Struthio camelus: one gene and its partner. The protein of the gene in region 1 interacts with the protein of each later gene in a biochemical or structural test. Links are inferred from orthologs where the notes say so. Each region holds a gene or a part of one and is shown in the gene's direction. Other genes may lie near its edges.

Region 1 (9,422 bases):
TTTTCTTATTAAAAACAGAGGTGAAGTTTGATCTAGTTTGTTATATTATTAAGTGAGGTGGAAGGTAGTAAAGTGAGAGGACAACTCAGAACAGAGAAAAAAGACTGCTAGGTGCTTAACAAACCTAAACACATCTGCTCAGTAAATAGATGGGCTAGGTAATACAGCAAAGTCATAACAGAGTAAGTTTTGACGAGAGAACAGCTGTGCAGCAGAGTACTTACTTGATGGTTAGTAAATTTATTATTAAAACTATTATTATTAAATCTGAGAGGAATAGAGCGGTTAAAGGCTTTTTCCCAAAATCCTTTCTCTTATGACCCCTAAAAGTAATAGAAAGATAATATTAGCGTATTTTACAAAAGTCATGTAATTGGAAGGTATCTACAGTGAAAAGTAACCCACATGAAAATGCCTTAAATAATTTCAGTTCATTATAGGGAAAATTCCTCAGATGTTTTGGTTACATTTTACCAGGCTTGTGATCTTTGTATGCTGTTAAGTTTAACTTTTAAAAAAAGTCTAGTAAAAGCCTTATTTTCACAATTTCATCCTGCTGGCTGTGCTGTAAGTTTTTGTATGAAAAAAAAGAGATGTGCACTTATAGTAAAAAGGAATTTTAAAAAATCCTCTCTTTGCTTTTCTTCATCAGAAGGGTATCATGCAGTTCCCTTTTGAGCTATGTTTTAAGCCTCCCTGGTGAAATTCTTGAAATTCTTGAGTCACTAAATCACAGGTTACATTGTCAAATAGGTATGTTTTTTTTTTTCTCACTGTACATATTTTTGTTAGTGAACAAAAACTTGGAAAACTCACTATTATTTTCTGATATTACAGTGTTTCTTTCACCCTGTGTAAGACTATTTATAATCAGAGAAGTCTTAATCATTCCATCCTATTAGGCTTTTACTGTGCAAGAAAATATTTATTACTCTACTCCATTACCAAGAAAATTAACATAAATGTATTGGCTTAAAAGTGTCATTTATTTATCAAGGTGATCTTGTGCAATTACATACTTTCCAGCAATTATTTAAAAAATAAAATGGGTACTTTTTTCCATATAACTAACCATTTATCATGACATTTTGATTTTTTAAAAAGACAATCATTTTCTATATATATAAAGTTCATTTTCATCCTGAGAGCTACACCTCTTCTGTGCATCAATTTACATGCTTCCTTTTAGGTTTCCCATTTGTGACTCTGCAACATCTCCATTAGCAGTTATTAAATCATATGGAGAGGAGTAATATTGGGAAATATTCAAGGTATCAAGCCTCGTTTTACTAAAACAATTTCAAGTATAGAAAGCATCATGTAATCAGCTTATTAGTGATCTGTTGTTCACAGGCTGGGAACCACCCTTTAGCAGTTATGTGGATATAAGAAAATTAAATGTTATGTGCATACACCAAGACTGAAATTCAGTGTCTGAGGACATGAAGATGAAATTCTCTGTTGCACATAAAATAGTATAATTTTCTTTTTTCCAAGCACATTAGAATCTATTGGTCTTTTTCTCTGTGCTTATTATTGCAATGTCTGAATACCTTAGCAGATTCCTCAGACAGGAAAGTGAACTACACGGACAACTACTCTTTTATGGTGTTGCAAGTTTAGTATCTTGTAAATTTAACTCCAGTGAAGTATTTGCATTACGCATCACTGTTCTCAGCAAAAAAGGAATTTTTCAAATAAAGAAATGTCACTGAAGTCATATATTCTCAATGATTGTTTATTTTAACTTTCTTCTTACAAATAATCTGAGCAGTATAAACTGATACACAGTCACTATTTTGCATTTATAACCAATCTGACTTCAGCAAGAGCAGTTAACAGAAATCTGGACTTTGCCTTCCTCAAATTACTGAGCTGACAATTTAGACATTGTCATTGCTCTTAAAATTTAAAGATGTTAACTCGCCGCTTATATTGGTATCTCAAATGTCATTGCAGGGCACTTACTGTATCAACTATAGCATTGAATTAATACAACTGTGGACTAAGTGAACAAATAAAGTACAGTTTTGTTTTTGGGGGGTTTGTTTGTTTGTTTGTTTGCTGTTAAGGCTCAACAGGATTATTGCCTGAGAAAGAAGCTAAAAAAACCACATTCAATAAAATGACTAGGAATATTTTTTAGTTTTTCCATAAAACCATTTTTGAAGAAATGACAAATAATCTGAAACATTTAAATGATAGAAAATGGGTATGGTATGATACCATAATGAACATATTAGCATAATTTGTGCTAGGTAAAAGAGGAATTAAATCTTTCCCCTTTAAGAAATAATTGTTTTGATACTGATTTCCTTTTAATCTTTACTGTCTTTAGTGACCAACAGTTAGTAGCTCTGAAAAAAAAAATTACCTGGTTTTGGCTGGTTGTTTAATAGTTTGTCTTTCTGTAACTGTTATGGAGCAAAGGAAGTTTTTAAAGTCCACTTTTGTCTTTGCCACAACTCTTTGCTGAAGTACAAGCTCATGTTCTGTCTTTCCAAAAAGTAGGCGTACAACAAGTTAAAGGCAGTTCCATATAAAACTTTGAATATATTTGTGTCTTGTCACCCTTGAAATGTTTAATTTGTTGGTAAATGGCTAATATTAAAAAATGCTCCCTAAACAGTATTTGAAATATTTATGAGTAGTTCTTTAAAAATAGCTTTTGGTCTACTGGGCCTTGCACAAACTTCCCATGCTATTAAGCGTAAGATTAAGTGTTATGCAACTTTCGTATTTCTGTATTTCATTACAAACTTGGCTCTCTGAACTTCTTTCCAAGATTTCTCAGTTTCTGTTTGCTGTGGACAAAATACAAACTTTGGACACCTGGAATCTTTGGAACTTGAAAGAACAGTGGCATATTATTAGACTTATAAACGCTTCAGAGATTGTCCGCCATCTAAAGTCTGGGGACAACCATAATCAACAGCATTCCACCTCTTCTCTTAGTAGTCAGTTGGTCTTCTAAAGCTGATTAAGCTATGTCCTGTGATCAGTCGAAACAGATACTGGGATCGACAAATAAGATTTCTTTGAGGCATTCAGATTTTTGCTACTATCCTTTCCTCAGAGAGCCAAGAAAGATTTTTATAAACATTCATTTCATGTTGCATTTCTATGTTTTCTATTTATCTGTGACAAAATAACAAGCTAATAGCAGCAAATTCACACCTAAATGCACACTTAATAAACTGTATATTCTTTAGGGTGACAAATCCTCCCTCCTCATTCTTCCTTCAGGTACATGAAATGCATTGCAGTGGAAAAAATACTATGTTGCTGTAAGGGCTTCCGTACTAAATCAAGTTTGGAATACCACCAATTGTTATCCAAAGAGATGATTATATTAATATCCAATCTTCTGAGAATATGCATCTTAGCCTGAAAGTTTTTACTCCTGATTGATCTCAAAGGATGTTTATGCATGGATGCTGTAAAAGTGCTCACCAGCAGTGAAATGCAAGTTAAATAATAGGTACAGCTAGTAGTTGCCCACTTCTGGATAGTTCTAGCCTTTTCTACCTGAAATATCCTGTCCTCTGCTTGTGTGCAAAAGCACAGAAGACTCAACTAAAATCCAAACCTCCCATTTTCCAAGATAAAACATTCTAGTACTGACCTAGAGCTCCAGGAGCTCTGATAAAGCTAGCTGTGAAAATTTTAGAAATTATTGTCTCAGGTGTCTGCCACACTTCCTGCCAGAAACTGCCATGCCTGCTGCAGGGACAGCAGAGCAAGATGGCCATTCACACTTTGGCTGTTCAAGTTCCCAGGCTAGTACACCTACTCAAAGCACTTTTGTAGATGTGCTGGCCCAAAATCATGGGGCGCACATGCACATCTCCCGCTGCCATCTTCGCTGTGTAAGTGGAAGCATTCAGCAGAGACGTCAGGCAACCCACTGGGAACGGCAACATCTTAAAAACCTGCTGCTCAATCTGTAAAGTGCTTCTAGCAGAACCCTTGCAAAGCCTATGCCATATAGGTACTGCTTCACTACATACGGGGACGCAGCAGGCTCTGCACATGACTGACAAAAACTCTTGCTGTGTATTTAGCACACTCTTGAAGTAGAAAAATCAGGATGCCATTTTTCATTGTGTATTTTAAGCCTTCAACAGGAAAAATGTCAGTTTGCCTAAACAGAGGGAAAGGGCCTCTCCCTTCATCACGGAGTCAGTGGGCAACAGGTACTTGAGTCTCAAAACTAGTGTTGAGCTAACTCTCAAGCAGCTGTGGACAATATTCATTTCTGCTTTTGGTCACAGAACAGAATGCGCCAAGTTAAGGCTCAGATTAAAGTAGATCCCATGCTCTTCTCCCCCTGCCCCCTTTAGGTAGAAATTGAGGGTGAGTGGGAAATGGTCACTGCAGATTTTGACCTGCTGATCACCCAGGCTAAGCTGTGCACCTCTGATGTACTTCAAGTACTGCTAACAGCGCTTTTTGGTTTCTTGACACTCCTCGAACCCAAAGCCGGCTATTAAGAAAACCTCTGTGTTTTGGCCAGGTGCTTCCTGTCATAAAGAAAACTTGAGGTTACCCCCAGGACAGCTCAAAAAACCTAACAACAGGACAGGTAAGGAAGCTGCAGCTAGCGGTGCTGGAAGCTGGTGATGCAGGTTATTTTCTGAGAAACCCAGAGGCCCTCAGTAAGGCTTTTCACATGTGCTAGGGAGGAGATACCCTAGAGGCCAAAGCAGCCACGTCCCACTGGGGCGGGAAGGCGAGAGGCAGAGCGAGGCGGCTCCTTCCGCCCTGCCCCCCCGGGCCCCCGCGCGCCGGGGCAGCGCCCCCTCGCAGCCGGAGCCGCCGCGCGCGCGCCTCGTTCTACCCTCAAACGCCCTTGGCCGCAGCACGTTATCGCGAATAACCGTCGGCAACCGCCCGCCAAGGGGCGGAGCCAACTGCTCATTTAAATAACTCGGCGGCTCATTTGCATGCTGCCAAGATGGCCGGCCCTGCGATTGGCCGGCGGCAAGGCAGCCCCCGCTGCCGGCCCCTGTGCCGGCGAAGGGGGCGGGGCCAGCCGGGAGAGGGGAGGGGATAGACGGCTCATTTGCATAACGGCCCGGCGCGTGCGACAGGGGGAGGCGGCGTTGGTGCCTGAAGTGGGTTCCGATTTTGAATCTACGGCGGCAGCGGAGAGAAGACAGGAGCGGCGGCCGCCGCCGGAGCGCTGAGGCAGGGGCTGCCGCAGGACGCAGAGGCACAGGTACTGCACGTCCCGTTCGGGCTGCGGGCGGCGGGTCGCGCTCTCACTGTGGCCGGGTAGTGGCAGCACTTTATGCCGAACGCTGACTCGGGCTGTGGGGCTGGCCGCAGTGCGCATGCTCGGGAGCTGCAGCTTTGCACACGCGCCACGCACCCACACTCACAAGCGCACCACAGCTACGCGCATACTGCATGGGAGCACGTGACTCGGCTCCAGTGCAGGCGGCGGCGCGCATGCGCGTTGCTGTTTTTCTACTGAGGTGGTGGCAAGTGGGGAGCGTGGTGTGGGGACGTTTCCTCCTCCGCCCCCGACGCTCCCTGCCGCGGCCGCGGTGGGTCACAGGTAGGTCTGATGGGGGCAGGGCAAAGCTCGGATTCTGGATTGAGCCCTGTAAGGCAGCATGAGCCTGGAAGTAGCAGGCAGTTGTCCCTCTTTCGGTCTTCTTGTTGTACATGTGTCAGGTGAGGTGGGGGCGCTCTTTTACACCACGCCAGAGGGGTGTTTAGGTGTGGGACAGGGGCGGATCTGGCTGTGTAGTGCCTCGAAAGCACTACCTTACATATGTCTGGATTGGGGATAGCATCACCTAAGTGGTGGTGTATGTAGTTGGTGAATATACTCCTAAGTATAGCAGATGTTAAAAGTTGAGCATCGTGGTTGGATGGGTTGTGGAAACAACAAGTAGAAAACTGTTCTTCTTGTTGCGCTCGATAACATGCTAATAAAATTTCAGCTAAAAGTTTCTGAAGCAAGCGTGCTTGTGAACTTAGTAGAAATGAGGGTATTTCAGTGGGGAAAAAAATAGGCTAGTTCTTCGTTATTTATGTGATGTTGTCAGTAGTTTATTATAAAATGAACTAAACAAGGCCAGAATTGTTATTTCAGGTTGTCCTGGAGGCCTGTGTTGAACAAAATGGCTTAAGTTAACAGTGTAGTATGTTCATATAAAGAATTTACATTTGATCTTCTAATTTTCTTTATACCGATGTATTTTAAAAAATTGAAATCTTAGTTTAATACTACATTTTAATTCTGGGGTGACACTGGAGCATTTTAGAGATGTAGCATTGTTCTCAACTGTTTTTTTTTCTCTTAGCAGGTATATTCCCTTCTAATTAGGTCTCCTAATGAGACCTTGATAGATATCCAGTGGATATGCCTGCATTAGAATATTTTGTTGCATAACAGTCATCTTGAAATAACTCTGCATATTGTGATGTCAGTGTGACCCTTAACACTGAGAGGCTTGTTGGATAGCATTCTTTTGATGGAAAAATGTCCATCTAAAATGGAGAGGGGGAGATAAGCATTACTTAGCCCTACTCTGTTAGGGAACAGTCATTAAGGTTAAAACTGCTGCCTTCGTGCAGTCACAGACAAATAAACGCTTGTAAATCTAGACACCTTATTTAATGTGGCATCTGATTGTCAGAAATAGGACAATGTTTTAGAAAATATATGTTTGGTACGTTCCCCATTTTATACAAGTAAATACTGTTCTTATGAATGAATTTATGGGAATTTGCATCTAGAAGATCAATAAATTGTATAAGCATGCTGTCTGGATTTATTTTGCAAGTTTAAATACATTTCAGGCCATCTTCTATTGTAACAGGTTGTTCTAAATACAGTTATTGCAGTTATTAATACTGAGTTTATATTTACTTTTTGTTTATAAAATGTAGAGAATGTACTTAATGTCTGCTTAAGCCTGGTATAAAAAGGCTAGATATGAAATCAGTACACAGAGAACTAATAAGAATGTAAGAAATAAGTATAGGGTTTTTTTTCTGATTAGATACTGTTTTGGGCAGTCCCAAAGGAAGGTATGAAGGAAAGTATTATCTTGAATATTAAAAAACTCTTTAAAGTGCCCTGCTGTTATGTGGTATGTGATCTTGGGTAGGTAATTTCTCAGTTTGCCCATCTGTAAAATGGGACTAATGGTAGTTATCAGGACAAACATTAAATGCACTCACTGATGTTTGCTTGAGGACTTGTACAGTTGACGAATCTTGGCAACTAAAATAATATTTTTATCCTCAATTCTTGCAGTTATTTTTATATGCTCTGGAAGTATCAAATTTAGATTTTGGGTACATATAATCCAAAAAAGAATGGCACTACTCATTTTTAATAGCAGTAAGTCTTTAGATAGATGCCAAATAATTAAAATGCAGAAAATGTGGTTTTGGTACTGTTTACAAGTAACTGCTCATGTGTACTCTTTTTCAAAGAATCTTACGAGATCTTCATGCTCTCATCATTATGATTTTGGTTTGGTAGACTTGTTACGTTGCTTCCAGATTTTTTTATGAGTTGCAACCTTTTACAAAGTGTAGCAATACTGAACTAATGCTTCCTATGATTTGTGGAACAGTTTTGTATTTTGTTGTATGAAGTAATTTAATAAGATTATTTTGAATGTTCCATAGGTTTGAAACTGATCTTACATGATTGATTCATAGGAGAATACAGTAATAATATACATAATTTAAAACAGTTCATTTAATGTTGCTGTTGTGGGACCTCTTTATTTCTTATTTCCCACCTATTATGAAGTCTGTTTTCAATAAGATGCTAGTCCCTGTAGACATGCATATATGCTATATTCTTCATTGTTTGCTAATATCTCCTGCTTTGGCTTGTATGCCCATTTCACATATTTAGAAGCTCAACATGAACTGTAGTATGTTAATTTTCTTGTAAAGGGTCCTTTGGCAGTGCTTTCAGAGTTTGGGGATAAGGACAGGAAACTTGGTCTAATAGGGAGATAGTTTGTCCCAGCATGAGATGATGTTGCTAGCCAAGAGCCTGAACTTCTTAGATATGAAAATTATGTTAAAACATGTTGAATTGTTTCTCTGCATGCTAGCTATTCTGTAAAATAAATATTTAAAATTAAACTATGTTTTAAAACTATTTTAGTAACTGATTCATAGAGAATGAAGGCAGTGCTTTTCAGTGTGCTTGACTGTGATTTTTTGGGAGACTTCTTTTCTTCTTTAAAAAAAAAAAAAAAAAAGATATTTCCACATTGAAAAATAGCTGACCAAACCAGATGTTGTATTTTTCTTGCAAAACAAGAAAACAGCAGAGTAATTTTCCCCAATCTAGATTTTTTTTTTTTTTAGTATGAATAATAATTAGCTGGGCTTATCTGGACTTACTGTCAGAAATTATGTTTATGCCAAAAATCTCAAGGATATATATGAAATATAGATAGGAAGGCCAAAAGATACTTTCTCAGTATGTTGCTGTCATTCTTACTCAATGTACAATCTTAATGCATTTACTATCCACCTAATGTTTTTCTATGTTGTGTGCTAGTCATATGTTTATTTTGGAAATTACTGCAGTGTCACAGATGTACATTGTAGTTTTCCTAAGGGATATTAGATGAGAAAATAAGTTGTGAGTTGTAAAACTATTATATTTTCTGTGTATGTGAATGTGAATTTTTTGTTTTGTTGTTTTTTTCCCCCCAGTATATTTTGATGAATCTCACTCTTAAATGCAGTGAAATCTAAGATTGTTAATATTTTACAGTAAGAATTTTACAGTAAGGCTAGACTGTTTACTTCTCTTTAGTATATGGCATTACTTTGAGAGGCTTATCTATGCTTACATAATGACTGAGAATTCATAGGCTGCCCAACACAATTTTTACGATGACATTTTTACGATGTGTATTTGTAACTCGGGAACTTCATTTATGGTCATTGTACTGTGTGCTGTATTGTATGAAAAAGCGGCTCTTCTGTTAAAGTGCTTACATCATATCATAAGAAACAGTGATCATCATGCGGCAATGACTTATCCAAATTAAAGGATGGAGAGTAAGATAGGGGTTTTCTGATCTTGTGTTTTGACAGCTCATTCAGAAGCAGAGAAAAAATGAGGTTGGCCTCCAAAGTGATCTCTTAACCAACTTCTCTTGTTGAATTAGACAATTGTGGAGTACCTTAATCTCTGAATGAATGTTTAGAAGTGGATTGGGTAATAATTCATATTTAGAATTTCTACAGCTCAATCTTCCTTTGGTTATTAAAGCCTGGTGGTTGATCCCAAAGATGATGACTGTACTGTGTTCTAGTCTGAATGAATTTTCCAGCCAGGAAGGTCTGGATCGTGTACTTTGTCAGCCTTACACTGCTGGATAGTGTGATGGTTGTTTATTCCCCCCTGGCAAAATTTTACA
Region 2 (9,415 bases), on another chromosome or scaffold:
CCTCCTTCTGCCCCAAATCGCCCCCCGTGTCCCCCGCGGCCCGCTCGGCGCCGCTCACCACCGCCCTGCGCACCGTCGCCGCCGCCTGACGGTCCCGAAACACCCGGCAACACCCCCAAAACCCCCCCGGAACCCCCCCCGAAACCCCCCCGAACCCCCCGCCCCCCCCTTCCGCCTCCTTCCGCCCCAAATCGCCCCCCGTGTCCCCCGCGGCCCGCTCGGCGCCGCTCACCACCGCCCTGCGCACCGTCGCCGCCGCCTGACGGTCCCGAAACACCCGGCAACACCCCCAAAACCCCCCCGGAACCGCCCCCGAACCCCCCCCGAACCCCCCGCCCCCCCCTTCCGCCTCCTTCTGCCCCAAATCGCCCCCCGTGTCCCCCGCGGCCCGCTCGGCGCCGCTCACCACCGCCCTGCGCACCGTCGCCGCCGCCTGACGGTCCCGAAACACCCGGCAACACCCCCAAAACCCCCCCGGAACCGCCCCCGAACCCCCCCCGAACCCCCCGCCCCCCCCTTCCGCCTCCTTCCGCCCCAAATCGCCCCCCGTGTCCCCCGCGGCCCGCTCGGCGCCGCTCACCACCGCCCTGCGCACCGTCGCCGCCGCCTGACGGTCCCGAAACACCCGGCAACACCCCCAAAACCCCCCCGGAACCGCCCCCGAAACCCCCCCGAACCCCCCGCCCCCCCCTTCCGCCTCCTTCTGCCCCAAATCGCCCCCCGTGTCCCCCGCGGCCCGCTCGGCGCCGCTCACCACCGCCCTGCGCACCGCCGCCGACCGCTGACGGTCCCGAAACACCCGGCAACACCCCCAAAACCCCCCCGGAACCGCCCCCGAACCCCCCCCGAACCCCTCGCCCCCCCCTTCCGCCTCCTTCCGCCCCAAATCGCCCCCCGTGTCCCCCGCGGCCCGCTCGGCGCCGCTCACCACCGCCCTGCGCACCGTCGCCGCCGCCTGACGGTCCCGAAACACCCGGCAACACCCCCAAAACCCCCCCCGAACTGCCCCCGAAACCCCCCCGAACCCCCCGCCCCCCCCTTCCGCCTCCTTCCGCCCCAAATCGCCCCCCGGGTCCCCCGCGGCCCGCTCGGCGCCGCTCACCACCGCCCTGCGCACCGTCGCCGCCGCCTGACGCCCCCAAAACCGCCGGAATCTACCCCAAAACCTCCCCCTGCCCCCTCCCCACGACCCCCCCGGCCCCTAAACCCCCCCTGAACAGCCCATCTGCACCCCCCCACCTGATTTTGGGGCGGGTCTTGCCCTATTTTTGGGGTCCTGAGCTCCCCCCCCCAATTTTGGGGGGTCTCACCCCATTTTGAGTGTCCTGAGCCCCCCCTTAATGCCCCCCCACCCAATTTTGGGGGATCTCACCCAATTTTAGGGGTCCTGAGCCCCCCCCCTTAGGGCTCCACCACCCAACTTTGGGGGGGTCCCGGGGGGGGGGTTCTGCCCAATTTAGGGGTCCTGAACCCCCCACCCCCTTTTGGGGAGGTCTCCCCCAATTTGGGGGGTCCTGAGGCCCCCCTTGAGACCCCCCCACCCAGTTTGGGGGGTTCTCACCCAGTTTTGGGGGTCCCTGCCCAATTTCAGGGTCCTGAGGTCCCACTCGCACCTAGTTTGGGGGGGGGAATCTCACCCAATTTTGGGGGTCCTGAGCCCCCCTTTAAGACCCCCACCACCCAATTTTGGGGTGCTGAACCCCCCTACCCCCTTTTGGGGGGGGATCTCACCCAATTTTGGGGGTCCTGAGCCCCCTTAAGACCCCCCCACCCACTTTTGGGGGGGTCTCACCCAATTTTGGGGGTCCTGGGCCCCCCTTTAAGACCCTCACCACCCAATTTTGGGGGTTCCTGCCCAATTTTGGGGTCCTGAACCCCCCTACCCCCTTTTGGGGGGGATCTCACCCAATTTTGAGGGTCCTGAGCCCCCCCTTAAGACCCCTCCACCTAGTTTGGAGTGATCTCACCTAATTTTGGGGGTCCTGAGCCCCCCTACCCACTTTCGGGGGGATCTCACCCAATTTTGGGGGTCCTGGGCCCCCCTTTAAGACCCCCCCACCCAATTTGGGGGGGTCTCACCCAACTTTGGGGGTCCTGAGCCCCCCCCGTTAAGACCCCCCCACCCAATTTTGGGGGTCCTGAGCCCCCCTATTAGGGCCCCCTACCCACTTTTGGGGGGGTTCTAGGGGAGAGGGGGGCCTTCCACCCCCCCACAATAAAATTGGTGTTGAAAGTGGTTTTTTTCCTGGATTTCGGGGGGTCCCGGTGGCTTTGGAGGGGGGGGGGGCGCCGCTCATTAGCATAGCCCCGCCCCCCGGGCGGGACCGACCAGCGCTCGGTACGACGCTCATTTGCGTAGCCACGCCCTCGGCGACTCAGTGCCGCCGCTCATTTGCATAGCCCCGCCCCCGAGCGGGCCGACCGCGCTGCTCATTAGCGTAGCCACGCCCCGCACGGCTTGTCCGCGGTGCTTATTAGCATAGCCACGCCCCCCCCTCGCCCCGCGGTCACGTGTCCGACGGCGCGGGCTCCCGCGGGGATATTGGCGGCGGGGCGGGGGGGAAGGGAAGCGGCCGGCGCCACGTGGTCCGCCCCCCGCCGCGCTCATTTGCATAGCTCCGCCCCCTCCCAGCCGTGTGGGGTGGTGGTGGCGGTTCAGGTGACCGCGCTGCCGTCACGTGCTCGCTCCCTCCCGCCCATTGGAAGGAAGAGGGAAGGAGGGGGGAGGCCCCGCCCCTTCCCCCGCGCCGCCCTCCCATTGGCCGCGGCGGCGTCACGTGCGCCTCCTCCCCTTCTCCCCCCCCCTCCCCACCACCAGCTTCCCCCGACCCACCAGCCAATCAGAGGCAGCGGCGGGGCGGCTTCGCTTCCGCTTCCGGCGCGCGGCGCGGCCCCTCCCCTCCCCTGGCCGCGGTGCCCTCGCGCCGGCGGCGGCCGTTGCTGCGCCACGAGCGGGGCCGCGCCATGGCGGAGCGCGCGCGCGCCGCGGGGGCCGCGCCCCGGCCGGTACCGGGCGGCGGGGGGAGGGGGCGGTCGGGGGGCGGTTTGGGAGGGGGAGGGGCGGTCGGGGGGCGGTTTGGGAGGGGAAAAGGGCAGTTAGTGTGTGTGGGGGGGGGAGGGGCGGTTACGGAGGGGCCGGGGGCAGTTCTGGGGCGGTTAGTGAGGGGGAGGGGGCGGTTTGGGGGCGGTTTGGGGCGGTTTGTGAGGGAAAAGGGCAACTAGTGAGGGGGAGGGGGCGGTTTGGGGCAGTTAGTGAGGGAAAAGGGCAGTTAGTGAGGGGGAGGGGGCGGTTTGGGGCAGTTTGTGAGGGAAAAGGGCAGCTAGTGAGGGGGAGGGGGCGGTTTGGGGCAGTTTGTGAGGGAAAAGGGCAACTAGTGAGGGGGAGGGGGCGGTTTGGGGCGGTTTGTGAGGGAAAAGGGCAACTAGTGAGGGGGAGGGGGCGGTTTGGGGCAGTTTGTGAGGGAAAAGGGCAGCTAGTGAGGGGGAGGGTTCGGTTTTGGGGCAGTTCTGGGGCAGTTAGTGAGGGGGAGGGGCTGTTTTGGGGCAGTTAGTGAGGGGGAGGGGGCAGTTTGGGGCAGTTTGTGAGGGAAAAGGGCAGTTAGTGAGGGGGAGGGGGCGGTTTGGGGCAGTTAGTGAGGGAAAAGGGCAGCTAGTGAGGGGGAGGGGGCGGTTTGGGGGCGGTTTGGGGCAGTTAGTGAAGGAAAAGGGCAGTCTTGAGGGAAAGGGGCAGTTTTGGGGCAGTTTGTGAGGGAAAAGGGCAACTAGTGAGGGGGAGGGGTCGGTTTTGGGGCAGTTCTGGGGCAGTTAGTGAGGGGGAGGGGGCAGTTTTGGGGCAGTTAGTGAGGGGGAGGGGGCAGTTTGGGGCAGTTAGTGAGGGAAAAGGGCAGTTAGTGAGGGGGAGGGGCTGTTTTGGGGCAGTTTTGGGGCAGTTAGTGAGAGAGGGGCTGTTTTGGGGCAGTTAGTGAGGGGTAAAGGGCAGTTAGTGAGGGGGAGGGGGCAGTTTGGGGGCAGTTAGTGAGGGAAAAGGGCAGTTAGCAGGGGTGGAGGCAGGTTTTGGGGCTGTTTGTGAAGGAAAAGGGGAGTTAGTGAGGGGGAGGGGGCGGTTTGGGCCAGTTTTGGGGCAGTTTGTGAGGAGAAGATGGCAGTTAGTGAGGGGGAGGGGGCGGTTTTGGGGCGGTTTGAGGGGAAAAGGGCAGTTAGTGAGGGGCAGGGGTGGTTTGGGGGGGAGGGGGCGGTTTTGGGGCGGTTTATGAGGGGAAAAGGGTGGTTAGTGAGGGGGAGGGGCGGTTTGGGGGCGGTTTGCGAGGGAAAAGGGCAGTTAGTGAGGGGCGGGGGGCAGTTTGGGGCAGTTAGTGAAGGAAAAGGGCAGTTAGTGAGGGGGAGGGGGCAGTTTTGGGGCAGCTAGCGAGGGAAGAGGGCACTTCCTGGTGGGGCTGGGGCGGTTTTGGGGCAGTTAGTGAGGGAAAAGGGCAGCTAGTGAGGGGGAGGGGGTGGTTTGGGGCAGTTAGTGAGGGAAAAGGGCAATGTGTGAGGGGGAGGGGCTGTTTTGGGGCAGTTAGTGGGGGCGGGGGGCAGTTTCTGAGAGAACAGGGCACTTACTGCTGGGGAGGGGTCGGTTTGGGGGCAGTTAATGCAGGGGAGGGGGTGATTTGGGGCAGTTTTGGGGCAATTTGCGAGAGAAAAGGGCACTTAGTGCGGGGGGGGGGGCGGTTTGGGCCCTGTTGGTGTGGGGGAGGGGGGGGATGCGAGCCGGGGGGGGCGGGGCCGCTCGGGGGCAAGTCGCTCGGGGGCGGGGCCTGGCCGCTTGGGGGCGGGGCTTGGCAGAAGGGCCAGCCCGGACGCCTGGGTCCCAGCTGAGCCCCCCCCCCCCCTCCCGGCCCCGCAGTAGCCCGGCAGAGCCCCCCCCCCGCTCCAGCCCCCCCCCGCCGCCGCCGGCAGCGCCATGGCGGAGGGCTGGGTCGACTGCCCCGCGCTGGGGCCCGGCTGGAAGCGGCGCGAGGCTTTCCGCAAGTCCGGGGCCACCTGCGGCCGCACCGACACCTACTACCAGAGGTAGGAGGGCCCTGCCCGGACGCCTGGGTCCCTCCCCGGACGCTTGGGTCCTGCCCCGCCCCGCCCTCCCCACACCCCGGGGCGGGGGCCCAGGCGTCCGAGGTGCTTCGCAAAGCCGGGAAGGGACCCAGGTGTCCGGGTATCCCCCCCCCCCTCTACCCAGGGTACCAAGCTTGGGGGTGGGGTGGGGCCAGGCCTAGCCCCGCCCCTGGCTCCACCCCCACCCCTGATTTGGGGGAGGGGATCCCCCCCGTGTGCCTGCCTCCTTCCCCCTCTTCCCCCCCCCCAATACACGAAGTTCCGCCCCACTGTTTCAATGGGCTTTCTGCAGTTTTGGGGCTCCCCTGGTGGTTTCAATCCCCCTCAAATCTCTCCTGGTGGTTTCAAGGCCCCCCGCCGGTTTCAGGGTCCCCCAGGCAATTTCACCTCCCCCCAAAGCTCTTAGGGTTCCCCTGGGTTTTTGCCCCCCCCCCCAACCCGATACCTTTTCCATCATTTTTGGGGCTGCCAGGCCCTTTTTCCCCCCTGCAGAGCTTTCCTGGGCGGTTTCGAGCTTTTGTGTTTGGGTGGTTTCAAGAGCCCCTCCCTCAGGTGTTTTGGGGCTCTCCCTGATTTGGGGGGGCTGCCTGTTTTTTGGGGGGTCTCAGGGTTTTGGGGGCACCCCCAGATCCCCCTCATTGCTTCTGGGGCTTCCCAAGCCCTCCAGCCCCCTCCCACCCCAGTTTCTTTTGGTGGTTTTAAGGGTTTTTCTTTCATCTGTGGTTGGTTTCAAGGGCCTCCCTGAGTGTTTTTGGGCTCCCCTTGCTTTGGGGAGGCTCCCGGGGTTTTTGGGGGGCCCCAGGGGGTTTTGGGGCCCCCCTCGGTGTTTTGAGGTCCCCCTTGCTCCCCCACCCCCTCACTTCTGGGACTCCCCAGGCTGTTTCCCACCTTCCCTTAACTTTTCTTGGTGGTTTCAAGGCTTTGTCCTTGTTCCTCCTGGATGGTTTCGAGGCCCCCCCCCCCGGGTGTTTTGGTCTCCCCCAGTTTTGAGGGGCTCCCCGGATTTTGGGGAAGGGCAGGGGTTTTTGGGGACCCCTTCAACATCCCCCCCCCCCAGCACTTGGGGCTCCCCAGGCTGTTCCCTTCCCAACCTTGGCGGTTTCAAGGTTCCCCTTCGAGAGGTTTCAAGGCTGCCCCCCCCCGGGTTTGGGGGCTCCCTGGGTATGGAGGGAGCAAAGGGGGGATTGGGGGGGCCCCCGCGTTTTGGGCCCCCCCCCCCCGTGCTGACGTGCCGGCCGCAGCCCCACAGGGGAGAAGTTTCGCAGCAAGATCGAGCTGAGCCGGTTCCTGGGGCCGGGCCGGGACCTCGGCAACTTTGACTTCAAGCACGGCCTGGAGCGCCCCGGCGCTGTCAAGGTGCGCCCCCGAAACCCGGGGAGGGGGGGGGGACACCCCCGAAACGTGGGGGGGGGGCACCCAGGAGAGGGGAAGGGGGGGCCCCACAGCCGGCGGGGGAGGCTGCGGTGCGCAGAGGGGCAAAATGGGGGTGGGGGGAAGTGGGCACCCTGAGGGGTTGGGGGGGGTTATCTGGGTGCTGGGGGTGGGGCTGGAGCGCCCTGGGGTGTTGGGGGGGGGGACTGGCCCCAAAATGGGGGCTGGTCCCAAAAAATTGGGGGGGGGGCAAAATAGGGGGATCCCAAATGGGAGCTGGGAGGGGGCTGAAATTGGAGAGAGCCCAAAATGGGGGGTGTGGGGGGGTCACTAAAATGGAGGGGGGTCGTAAATGGGGGCTGAGGGGGTCTCCCAAAATGGGGGGGCTGCCAAAATGGGGGCTGGGGGTGCCCCAAAATGGAGGGAGGTGGTCCCAAAATGGGGGGGCCTCAAATTTGGGGGCTGGGGGGGGTGGGTTAAGATGGGCGGGGCCAACTGGAGGGGTCCCCAAACTTGCCCTGCCCCCCCCCCGTTAACCCTTCTCTTCCCCCCCCCCCCCCAGGCCAGGAAGGGCCCCAAGTGGCGCCCGCCCCCGGCGCCCCCCCTGGCGCCGGCGGAGGAGGGGCCGGCGGGGGAGGGGGGCGCCCCGGCCCCCCCGCCCCTGCCGCCCCCCCCTGCCGCGGCGGCAGCAGCCGGGCCGCCGCCCCCCTCCCCCTCGCCCGCCGGCGCCCCCCTGCTGCTGCTGCCCCCCTCCCCCGCCCCGGCCGCCGCCCCCCCGCCCCCCTCCCCTCCCCCCCCGCCGCCCCCCGCCCTCCCCCGGCGCACCCGCAAGCGGCCCCCCCCGGAGCCCCCCCAGGACCGCGTGGTGGCGTGAGTGCGGGGACGCCGGGGCCCCTGGGGGGAGGGGGGTGGGGCTTTGCGGGGGGGGGGGCGGCGCTCTCGGACGCCTGCGGGGAGGGGGGAGGGGGTCCCGGACGCCTCGGTGCTTGGTGGGGGGCATCCCGGACGCCTGGGCCCCTTCTTTGGGGGGACACCTGAGTCACTGCGGGGGGCGGGGGTGTCCCGGACGCCTGGGCCCCTGGTGGGGAGGGGGGGGGGGATCCCAGACCCCTGGGGCCAGGTCCCGGACGCCTGGGCCCCTGGTGGGGAGGGGGGGGGATCCCAGACCCCTGGGGCCAGGTCCCGGACGCCTGGGCCCCTGGTGGGGGGGGGGGGGGATCCCAGACCCCTGGGGCCAGGTCCCGGACGCCTGGGCCCCTGGTGGGGAGGGGGGGGGGATCCCAGACCCCTGGGGCCAGGTCCCGGACGCCTGGGCCCCTGGTGGGGAGGGGGGGGGATCCCAGACCCCTGGGGCCAGGTCCCGGACGCCTGGGCCCCTGGTGGGGAGGGGGGGGGGATCCCAGACCCCTGGGGCCAGGTCCCGGATGCCTGGGCCCCTGGTGGGGAGGGGGGGCGGATCCCAGACCCCTGGGGCCAGGTCCCGGACGCCTGGGCCCCTGGTGGGGAGGGGGGGCGGATCCCAGACCCCTGGGGCCAGGTCCCGGACGCCTGGGCCCCTGGTAGGTGGGGGGGGGGGGGGGATCCCAGACCCCTGGGGCCAGGTCCCGGACGCCTGGGCCCCTGGTAGTGGGGGGGGGGGGGGATCCCAGACCCCTGGGGCCAGGTCCCGGACGCCTGGGCCCCTGGTAGTGGGGGGGGGGGGGGATCCCAGACCCCTGGGGCCAGGTCCCGGACGCCTGGGCCCCTGGTAGTGGGGGGGGGGGTGGTTCCCGGACTCCTGGGCCCTTTCTTTCAAAAGACACGTGGGTCTCTACGGGGGCGTCCCGGACGCCTGGGTCCCTTCTTTTGGGGGGATACCCGGATGCCTGGGGCTCTGGTTGGGGGGAGGGGTGACTCCCGGCCCCCTCGTTTTGGGGTGGGGGGGGAGGGGTCCCGGACGCCTGGGTCCCGGTGCCGCAGGTGCTGCGCCAGCTGCCAGAGCCTCTTCCCCGGGGTGACGCTGCCCAGCCAGCGCCGGTGCCGCTGGCTCTGCCCCGAGTGCCGCGGTGAGCCTTCCTCCCCCCCGCTCCTCCTCCTCCTCCTCCTCGCTCCTAGGGGGGGTCCCTGCGGAGCCTTCCTCCTCCTCCTCCTCCTCCTCGCTCCTAGGGGGGGTCCCTGCGGAGCCTTCCTCCTCCTCCTCCTCCTCCTCCTCGCTCCTAGGGGGGGTCCCTGCGGAGCCTTCCTCCTCCTCCTCCTCCTCCTCGCTCCTAGGGGGGGTCCCTGCGGAGCCTTCCTCCTCCTCCTTCTCCTCCTCGCTCCTAGGGGGGGTCCCTGCGGAGCCTTCCTCCTCCTCCTCCTCCTCCTCCTCGCTCCTAGGGGGGGTCCCTGCGGAGCCTTCCTCCTCCTCCTCCTCCTCCTCGCTCCTAGGGGGGGTCCCTGCGGAGCCTTCCTCCTCCTCCTCCTCCTCCTCGCTCCTAGGGGGGGTCCCCGCGGAGCCTTCCTCCTCCTCCTCCTCCTCGCTCCTAGGGAGGGTTCCGGGAGCCTTCGTCATCCTCCTTCTCCTCCTCCTCCTCGGGGTCCCGGGAGCCTTCCTCACCCTCCCCCTCCTCCTCCTCACTCCTCGGGGTCCTGTGAGCCTTCCTCCCCCTCCCCCTCCCCCTCCTCCTCGGGGTCTCGGGAGCCTTCCTCCCCCTCCCCCTCCTCCTTGGGGTCCCGGGAGCCTTCCTCCCCTTCCTCCTCCTCCTGCCTGGGTGCCCCGGGGCGGGGGGGGATCAGGGCACCCCCCACCCTGACCCCCCTCCCCCCCCCGTTTCCCTCCCTCCTCCCCCAGCCCAGAGACGAGACTTCAACCGGGAGCAGCGGTTCTTCAAGGTAGGAGGGGACGTTTTGGGGGGACGGGGACGCACAGGGCCTCCCCCCCCACCCCCCACCGCACCGCCGGGCGCCGCGGCCCCGCGTGCGCGTGTGTGTGTCC

Evidence for each region.
Region 2: the proteins of ATF7IP (region 1) and methyl-CpG-binding domain protein 1-like form a complex in vitro, tested with the Homo sapiens proteins (2 studies listed by BioGRID). The link is inferred for Struthio camelus from reciprocal best matches to the Homo sapiens genes ATF7IP and MBD1.

Annotation. Positions count from the first base shown.
Region 1 is NC_090942.1:55,721,460-55,730,881, forward strand, and holds the start of ATF7IP (activating transcription factor 7-interacting protein 1), read left to right. Parts: upstream 1-5,039; 5' UTR 5,040-5,221; intron 5,222-5,342; exon of another isoform or gene 5,343-5,563; intron 5,564-9,422. UniProt on the Homo sapiens protein: Recruiter that couples transcriptional factors to general transcription apparatus and thereby modulates transcription regulation and chromatin formation. Can both act as an activator or a repressor depending on the context.
Region 2 is NC_090979.1:627,327-636,741, reverse strand, and holds the start of methyl-CpG-binding domain protein 1-like, read left to right. Parts: upstream 1-4,885; 5' UTR 4,886-4,942; coding exon 4,943-5,052; intron 5,053-6,332; coding exon 6,333-6,447; intron 6,448-7,024; coding exon 7,025-7,147; intron 7,148-7,258; coding exon 7,259-7,332; intron 7,333-8,421; coding exon 8,422-8,507; intron 8,508-9,271; coding exon 9,272-9,312; intron 9,313-9,415. UniProt on the Homo sapiens protein: Transcriptional repressor that binds CpG islands in promoters where the DNA is methylated at position 5 of cytosine within CpG dinucleotides. Binding is abolished by the presence of 7-mG that is produced by DNA damage by methylmethanesulfonate (MMS).